Coturnix japonica: one gene and its partner. The protein of the gene in region 1 purifies or fractionates together with the protein of each later gene. This does not show direct contact. Links are inferred from orthologs where the notes say so. Each region holds a gene or a part of one and is shown on either strand. Other genes may lie near its edges.

Region 1 (3,805 bases):
AATAGCAAAATAAAGGCAGAGAGGATATAGGTGAGACAGATGACAATGAGAAGACAAGAGAGAATGCTTGGAAGATAGAAGAGGAGAATGGGAGAGCGTATAGAGAAGATGGAAAAGTAGGAGTGGAGAAGAGAGGATACAGGTAAGGGAGAAAAGCAGAAGAGGAGAAAGGGAGAACAGCGGATACCGTCAGATGGAAGAGCAGAAGAGGAACAGACTAGAAGAGAAGAGAGGATACAGGTGAAACAAATGCAGAATTGGACCGAAGGAGGTCCGAGCTCTGCAGGAACCAGCTCATCGAGGAACTGAATCAGTTTAACAAAGGAACTGAGTCAGTTTAAGGGTGGCTCACCTACAGTAGCACGTCCCTTCCCAGCAATCTGTGCCCTCTTGGAGACTCCCATCAGCTCCAGGTCAACACGTAGGCACTGCTGGGAGTCCATCACCCAAGCCCATGTCCTGACAGTGGCTGCTGAGCCTGAGCTGCTTCCTGACCAGCTCCTGGCATGGCGTTAACCATTAACTCCCTGCTCCAAGGCACGCCGGGAACACTTGTTGTTTTTTAGGGCACTGTGAAATTGCTTTGTCCTTTCCTGCGACATTCCGGTGACGTTTCTTGCTGGGATCCTGCCTGGAGCTGAGCAGCCTTTCCTGTTTGCAACTGAAGGAGTCGGCCGCTCAGCAGAGCCGTGGGCCACGTGGCCTTTGTGGTCTGAGTTGTCCCTCAGCAGAAGGACTACAGGCTGTGTGCTACACACAGGAGGTGCTCGGGGTGTGTGGTGGGTGCCCGCTATGTGCTGTGGGTCCCTGTTTGCATTGCAGGCCCCTCTACCCATCAGGAAATGAATCAGCTTCGATCAAAGGCTTTGTACTGGGGCACTGCAGTCTCCTTTCCCGGCGCTGTCTCCTCCCCACATCCTGCTCTTCACCTCTTGGCACTGTGAAATAGGAAACTCCGGAGTGTTTCCTCTGCGGGGAGTTTCAGCAGAAATGCTGGAGCCACGTCCTGCTTGGAGGCAGACTGCTGAGCCAGGGTCTGAGAGCTGCAGTCACCTCCCCTTCAGACCAGAAGGCCAACAGTACCCTGGGCTGCATCGGCATAGGGGTGGCAGTGGCAGGAGGGGATTGTAATCTCAGCCATTGTGAGGCCCCATCTGGAGTATTGTGTTCAGTACAAGAGAGATATGGAGGTGCCCAAGGCCATAGAGGGGGGCCCTGGGCAGCCTGGTCTGGTAATCAACCCATGGCAGGGGTTGGGGCAGCTGTGGGGTCCCTTCTTACCCATCTGTTCTCTGGTTTGATGATTCTGTGTGCTTACCTAAGCTCTTGTACGTGCAATGCATAGTTGGGATCCATCTCAAGCCCAGGATGGCTCAGTGTTAATGCCCACAGTCAGAGGGGACTTCTTGTCCTTCCATCAGCTGTCCTGGCCCACTCACATTGTCCCCAGCTCTCACTAACCCTGCCCTGCCGGCTCTGAGCTGGGAAGAGAATTGCATTTACTGCATCACCTCTTGCCAATGTGTTGAAATTGCTGCTCTTTATCCCTGGCAACAGGGAGTAGAAAGCGTGAGTGCTTGCAGCTGCTGCCTGCTGGGTGCACGAGTGGGTGGCAGCTGAGGGCACTGACAGCTTCTGAAAGAGGAGGGAGAAACTCAGACCTTTATGACACAGCATCCTCAGGATGTGGCTGCAGCTCAGGTAATGCTGGATGCTGAGTGACGTGGGCTGCAGGAGGGGTACTGGAAGTGATGGGTACTGGAAGTGATGGGTACTGGAAGTGATGGGCAGTGCTGGCTGGCAGCAGCTGTCCCTAACTGGCACTCAGATACATGTTTAAATAAGACATAAATATTTGCAGTTAAATTATACTGTGAGAAAACATGTATTCTGAGCTCTCGTATTCACGTTAAGCATTTTGTTTCTTTCAGGTTGAGTTGCCTCTCTTCAAAGGAAGTATTACAAACCAGGAACACGCGTTAAGCACTCGGAATCAGCCAAGCTCCCATCTCAGAGGAACAGAAAATAAACATGGCAGAATTTACAGGGTATAAGGAGACCTCCAATCGGCACCTGAGGTTCAAGTTGCAGAGTCTTAGTCGCCGCCTGGATGAACTGGAGGAAGCAACGAAAAACCTCCAGAAAGCAGAGGATGAACTGCTTGAGCTCCAGGACAAAGTGATCCAGGCAGAAGGCAGCAATTCCAGCATGCTGGCTGACATCGAAGCCCTGAGGAAAAGAGTGTTAAAGATTGAAGGCAAGGATGAGGAAATTAAGAAGGCTGAAGAGCTTTGCAGGTTAATGAAAGAAAAGCTCGAAGAGGAGGAGAGCCTGACTCGAGAGCTGAAGTCGGAAATTGAGCATCTGCAGAAGAGAATGGCAGAGCTGGAGAAACTGGAGGAGGCCTTTGGCAGGAGCAAGAACGACTGCACACAGCTGTGTCTGAGCCTCAACGAAGAAAGGAATTTGACCAAAAAGATATCTACGGAGTTAGAAATGCTCCGAGTGAAAGTGAAAGAACTCGAAGCATCCGAAGAAAGGATGGATAAAACGGAGCAGAGCTTAACGGGTGAGTTAGAGAAACTGAAGTCTTTGGCACTGAGCTTTATCAGTGAGAGAAAACATTTCAACGAGAGAGAAAAGCAGAATGAGAAAATAATCCAGGAGCTCACACTGAAACTGGAGCAAAACAATAAGCTGAACAGGGCCGATCAGACCAGAAACTCATCCAACCTGCTGGAAAGGTCATCAAATAATCTCCTGGATAGAAATGATTTGAGAATTGAAGATGATTTGACTTCTGCATTGCCCTCTAAAGAAACCAGGCGGAAGGGAAGCGTAGATTACCTGAAACATGTAGAAAACGAAAGCAGGAATAAAGCGGAAAACCAAAAGAATAAAAATCAGGAAGACAACAAAGTGAAAGATCTCACCCAAGAAATCGAGAGGCTTAAAACTCAGATCAAACATTTTGAATCCTTAGAAGAAGAGCTTAAAAAAATGAGAGCCAAAAACAACGACCTGCAAGACAGTTATTTGAGCGAGCAGAATAAAAACAAACTTCTCACTGGTCAATTAGAGGAAATAAAGATGCAGATAAAGAAACAGAAAGATCTGGAAAACGGAGAGGTCGAAAATGAAGATGCAGGTTTCTCTAGCAGGGGGAAACATGACAGAGCTAAATACAGAGTTGTTGCAGCAGATTTCACAGCTGCCAAGCACAAACCAAGGGAGGTTTCGCCCCAGCAGCGCCGGGAAAGAGTGAGAAACAGAGATTTCTCCTTCAGCAATGACAGCTCTGGCCATGGTGGTAAGCAGACATCCAGCCCGAGCTTAATGAGCAGGAAAGCAGGAAAGTCATCGGGTGCAGCTGCCCTTGGAGATGCTACTGCAACAGATATGAAAAGACTGGAAGAGAAATGTTTGGTTTCCAGTTTTTCATCCGGTCAGAAGGAATCTTCCTTCACGCAGAATGAGGGGAAGAGATCCAAAGAGCAGCCCTCTGTCCTCAGCCGTTACCCCCCTGCTGCTCACGAGCAGAAATCTTGGAAAGCACCTTCCAAACCCGTTAGTGACTTGAGATCCAAGGCTGAAAAACCATCTCAGGCAACTCGCGGCAGCTGCCAAACTGGTGCAGACACACGGGATGAAAAGTCAAGTAGAGGGGAATCGGTGGCTTCATTAGCTGAGAAGCTGAAGGCAAATCAGGGTGAGGTGAGCGATGCCATGGGGGACACACAGCAAAGCAGGGGGCACTGCGCCTCTCCCAATGGCGTGGCCACTGCATACAGGTGCCACATCACAG
Region 2 (4,560 bases), on another chromosome or scaffold:
TACCTGAATGAGATCAAGGACAGCGTGGTGGCCGGCTTCCAGTGGGCGACCAAGGAGGTGGGGTGGTGTGAGTGAGTTAGTGCCTGTGTGGGTGTCAGCTTTGGAGCTGCTGCTCAGGCTGCCAGATGGGCTCAGTGCTGCCTGCAGCCGTGACTCAGAGGTGGGAGGAGCAGGATGAATGCTGCCTGGCCTGGTGCTGCCTCTCAACCTTCTTTTGCTCTCCAGGGTGTGCTGTGCGAGGAGAACATGCGTGGTGTCCGCTTCGATGTGCACGACGTGACCCTGCACGCTGACGCCATCCACCGTGGGGGTGGGCAGATCATCCCCACTGCCAGGAGGTGCCTCTATGCCTGTGTGCTCACGGCTCAGCCCAGGCTCATGGAGCCCATCTACCTTGTGGAAATCCAGGTAAGGAAAATCCAAGGAAATCCAAGGAAAGTGGAGTTGTGTTGTTTGCAGCCCCTGACCCCTCTGTCCCACAGTGCCCGGAGCAGGTGGTTGGTGGCATCTATGGCGTGCTGAACAGGAAGCGTGGGCACGTCTTTGAGGAATCCCAAGTGGCTGGAACCCCCATGTTTGTGGTCAAGGCCTTCCTGCCTGTCAACGAGTCCTTTGGTAAGTGTGTGCTGCCAGGAGCCCCATCACATCCCTGTGCTGTAAGGCCTGGAGCTGCCCTGGGGGGTGGGCTGTACATGGGGGTGCAGCTGTGGAGGGGGGGCTGCAGGACCCCGAGGGGCTGAGGCTCAGGGGGAGGCAGCTGGAGCTGTCAGACCCCGCATCCATCCCACTCAGCTCTGCTCTTCCCTCCAGGTTTCACAGCCGACCTGAGGTCCAACACTGGAGGCCAGGCCTTCCCGCAGTGTGTGTTTGACCACTGGCAGATCCTGCCCGGGGATCCCTTCGACAGCACCAGCCGCCCCTTCCAGGTGGTGGCCGAGACCCGCAAACGTAAGGGGCTGAAGGAGGGGATCCCGGCCCTGGATAACTTCCTGGACAAGCTGTAATCACCACCATCCCCATGTGCTGTCACTGCTGTGGGACTCAGCCTAAACACCATCCCAGCAGGCTCAAAGCGCAGTGACAGCTCTTTGCATTGTACTTAATCAGTTTCGTAGCGATTGGAGACTTATAACAAGAAAAAAAACCCCCACAAAACTGAACCGAACCAACCGAGCGCATTGATCCAGCCTTGGAGCTCTGTGTGTTGCACATCGTGGCCCATTGGGTGCCATTGTAACAATGAAAAGCGTTTCCACTCTGCTTCCATATTTATTTGACTTGAGGAATCTCTGCTTTATTGGGCTGGGGGAGAAGCTGAGGGCGGTGGGGGCTGCTCCCCCTTTATCTATGGGGGGGTTTAATGGAGCCCAATGGGGCCGGGGGGGGTTTGAAGGCAGGGAGCTGTTGTGTGTCATCGTCATCATGAGCATCAACCCGTGTATTAGTGCCACTGGAAGTAATAAATTTGATATGGTGATGATATGGCTCCTCCAACGTCGTGTCTCCTGCCGGACCCATCGCAGTGGGGTGTAGGGGTTCGATCACTGCGGGATCGATGCGGTATTGATGCGGGATCGATGCGGGATCGATGCGGGGCCGCCGGGATTCGAACCCGCGTCCTCAGCTCCGCCGGGGCGAGGCAGGGCGGCCCGATCCACGCATTCCAACATGACGTCACCCCCGTGGAGCCAATGGCAGCGCGCGAGGGGCGGGACATCTGGGATCTCGCAGCCAATAGCGGAGGAGAATGGGCGGAGCCGGCGGCTGTGCTGGAATGCGGCGGTGCGGGCGGGGGCGGCCCAGGTGGGGGAGCGGAGCGGGCGGGGGGTGCGGGATCGGAGCGGGATAAAGGGGGGGAGTGAGGGATCGGAGCGGGAATGAGCGGCTGATACCGGCCTGTAGGTGCTGAGAGGAGCGGGGGGAGCTGCCGGGCCGCCGCCATGTCCACCTTCCGGCAGGAGAACGTGGAGGAGTTCTACGAGATGGGGGAAGAGCTGGGCAGGTGAGAGGGGCGGGGGTGGGGGGTGGGATGGGGGTCGGGATGGGGTCGGGGTGGGGTCGGGATGGGGGTCGGGATGGGTCGGGATGGGTCGGGCCGTGTGTCCCGCAGCGCTGCGGGGTCTCCCGGTGCCGCCCCGCATTGATTCGGGCACGGCGCAGCGCTGCGGGTCCTTATATGGGACCGGGAGAACCGAGAGGGGACGGACGTCAGAGCGGGGAGGGGCTGCGGGGCTGCGTCCTCATCCACGGTGCCGGGGGGGGGTGAGCGACCCCGACCCCGACCCCATGGCCGAGAGATGGGGACGGGGTTGGGGTCCCACCGTGCTGCTCACGCAGGGCTCTATGGGGGCAGCTCAGCCCCCATATCAGTCCCTCCCCAGTCCCACACTGCGGGGCTGCCATCTCTCCCTCCTCCCCCAGCGGCCAATTCGCCATCGTGAGGAAATGCCGGGAGAGGAAAACGGGTCTGGAATACGCGGCCAAATTCATTAAGAAGAGACGATTATCATCGAGCCGCCGTGGGGTGAGCAGGGAGGAGATCGAGAGGGAGGTGGACATCCTGCGGGAGATCCAGCACCCCAACATCATCACCCTGCACGACATCTTCGAGAACAAGACGGACGTGGTGCTGATCCTGGAGCTGGTGTCGGGGGGGGAACTATTCGACTTCCTGGCTGAGAAGGAATCGCTGACGGAGGAGGAGGCCACGCAGTTCCTGAAGCAGATCCTGGACGGGGTGCATTACCTGCACTCCAAACGCATCGCACACTTTGACTTGAAGGTGGGGGGTCTATGGGTGTGGGTGGGAGCTATAGGGGCTCATTGGGGTGGGCAGATGTTGGTCAGCTGGGAGGCTGTCGGCCTTTTTGGACGCTGAGATGCTTTGCAGGTTTGTGGTTGTTCATTCATCATCTCTTGGTCAACTTCCATTGACCAACTACCACTGGTCAACTGTTGGCCAACCATCGGTCAGCTGGGACACTGCTGGCCTTCATGGCTGCTGGGACACAAAGCGTATGGTCAACTCTTGGTCAACTCTTGGTCAACTCTTGGTCAACTCTTGGCCTTTGTTGCTCTTGGCTCTTTGGCCAACCATTGGCCAACTGTTGGTCAATCGTTGGTCAACTGTTGGCCAACTCTGTGTCTGCTGGGACAACATTGGCTTTGGTGGCTGCTGGGCCGCACTTTTGGCTCTTGGTCAACCATTGGTCAACCATTGGCCAACCTTTGGTCTGCCAATGGGTCACCACTGGCCTTTGTGGCCATAAGGGAACACCATGTCTCATGGTCAACCTACAGCCAGCCATTGGCCAACCAAGACCCCGTTGGCCTTCTTGGCCACACATTGTAGCTGCCATGGTGTGCTGCTGGCTTGTGGAACACCTCATGTTCAGCACTGGGGTGAAGCACTGATCATCCTCCCCCCCTACAGCCAGAGAACATCATGCTGCTGGACAAGAACGTGCCCAACCCCCGCATCAAACTCATCGACTTCGGGATCGCCCACAAGATTGAAGCTGGGAATGAGTTCAAGAACATATTTGGGACGCCGGAGTTTGTGGGTGAGGCACAGTTTTGAACAGGGGGGGCTCAGAAATGTTGGCCTCATCCTGCAGGGATACCCCCAGGGGGGGTTATCTCCATGTGGGGCAGAGCTGGGTGCCCCATGAGTGTCCATACACAGGAGATGGATGCATTTGTGGGGACAGATATTTGTGTTTTCCCCTCCAGAATGAGTTTGTTGTCTCTCTTTTTCCTTCCTAAAGCACCTGAAATTGTGAACTACGAGCCGCTGGGGCTGGAGGCCGACATGTGGTGAGTGAGCCCCGGTGGGGGGTCAGGATGTCCCCCTCTGTCCCCTCTGTGCCATGTGGGGGGGACGCTGTGGGGCTCTGACCTCCTCTTTTCCCTTCCAGGAGCATTGGGGTCATCACTTACATCCTGTGAGTAGAGGGGCCGGGGGTGTGGGGTGCTGCAGGGGGTGGGGATGTGGGGCTGAGCATCCCCCCCATTGCTGCAGGCTGAGCGGGGCCTCCCCCTTCCTGGGGGAAACGAAGCAGGAGACCCTCACCAACATCTCTGCCGTCAACTACGACTTCGATGAGGAATACTTCAGCAGCACCAGCGAGTTGGCCAAGGACTTCATCCGCCGGCTGCTGGTCAAGGACCCCAAGTGAGGGTTGGGGTGCGGGTGTTGGGGGCTGACGTGGGTCAGACTGTGCCCCATATGGGTGTGGGGCATCTGTGGGGTCACCTGTGGCTGTAGTGGGTGGAAGGGAAGGAATGGGGTTGTGAGGAAGTGGTGGGTTGAGGGCTGAGCTGCACAGCCTGGCAGCCCACGAGCAGGGCCCCTGATTTTATGCCCCTCTGATCCCACCCCCCAATCCTGTCCCCTCTCTTCCTGTTCCCCCCATAACCCCGTATCTCCAACTCCATCCTCCCCTGTCCTGCCTTGCTGTCATTGCAGGAAGCGGATGACCATAGCTCAGAGCCTGGAGCACCCCTGGATCAAGGTATGGGGTTTCCAGGTGATGGTGTGGGGCGGGGGGCTGGGGGAGC

The links.
Region 2: the proteins of LUZP1 (region 1) and DAPK3 purify together in Homo sapiens (affinity purification with mass spectrometry; 3 studies listed by BioGRID and IntAct, with this or other methods). This does not show direct contact. The link is inferred for Coturnix japonica from reciprocal best matches to the Homo sapiens genes LUZP1 and DAPK3.

What each region holds. Positions count from the first base shown.
Region 1 is NC_029538.1:1,522,951-1,526,755, forward strand, and holds part of LUZP1 (leucine zipper protein 1), read left to right. Parts: intron 1-1,931; 5' UTR 1,932-2,031; coding exon 2,032-3,805.
Region 2 is NC_029543.1:799,380-803,939, forward strand, and holds the start of DAPK3 (death-associated protein kinase 3), read left to right. Parts: upstream 1-1,562; 5' UTR 1,563-1,577; coding exon 1,578-1,803; intron 1,804-1,902; coding exon 1,903-2,002; intron 2,003-2,421; coding exon 2,422-2,782; intron 2,783-3,433; coding exon 3,434-3,563; intron 3,564-3,767; coding exon 3,768-3,816; intron 3,817-3,917; coding exon 3,918-3,944; intron 3,945-4,021; coding exon 4,022-4,174; intron 4,175-4,468; coding exon 4,469-4,514; intron 4,515-4,560. Other genes in the region: EEF2 (elongation factor 2), read left to right, coding at 1-57, 226-408, 483-615, 811-1,004. UniProt on the Homo sapiens protein: Serine/threonine kinase which is involved in the regulation of apoptosis, autophagy, transcription, translation and actin cytoskeleton reorganization. Involved in the regulation of smooth muscle contraction.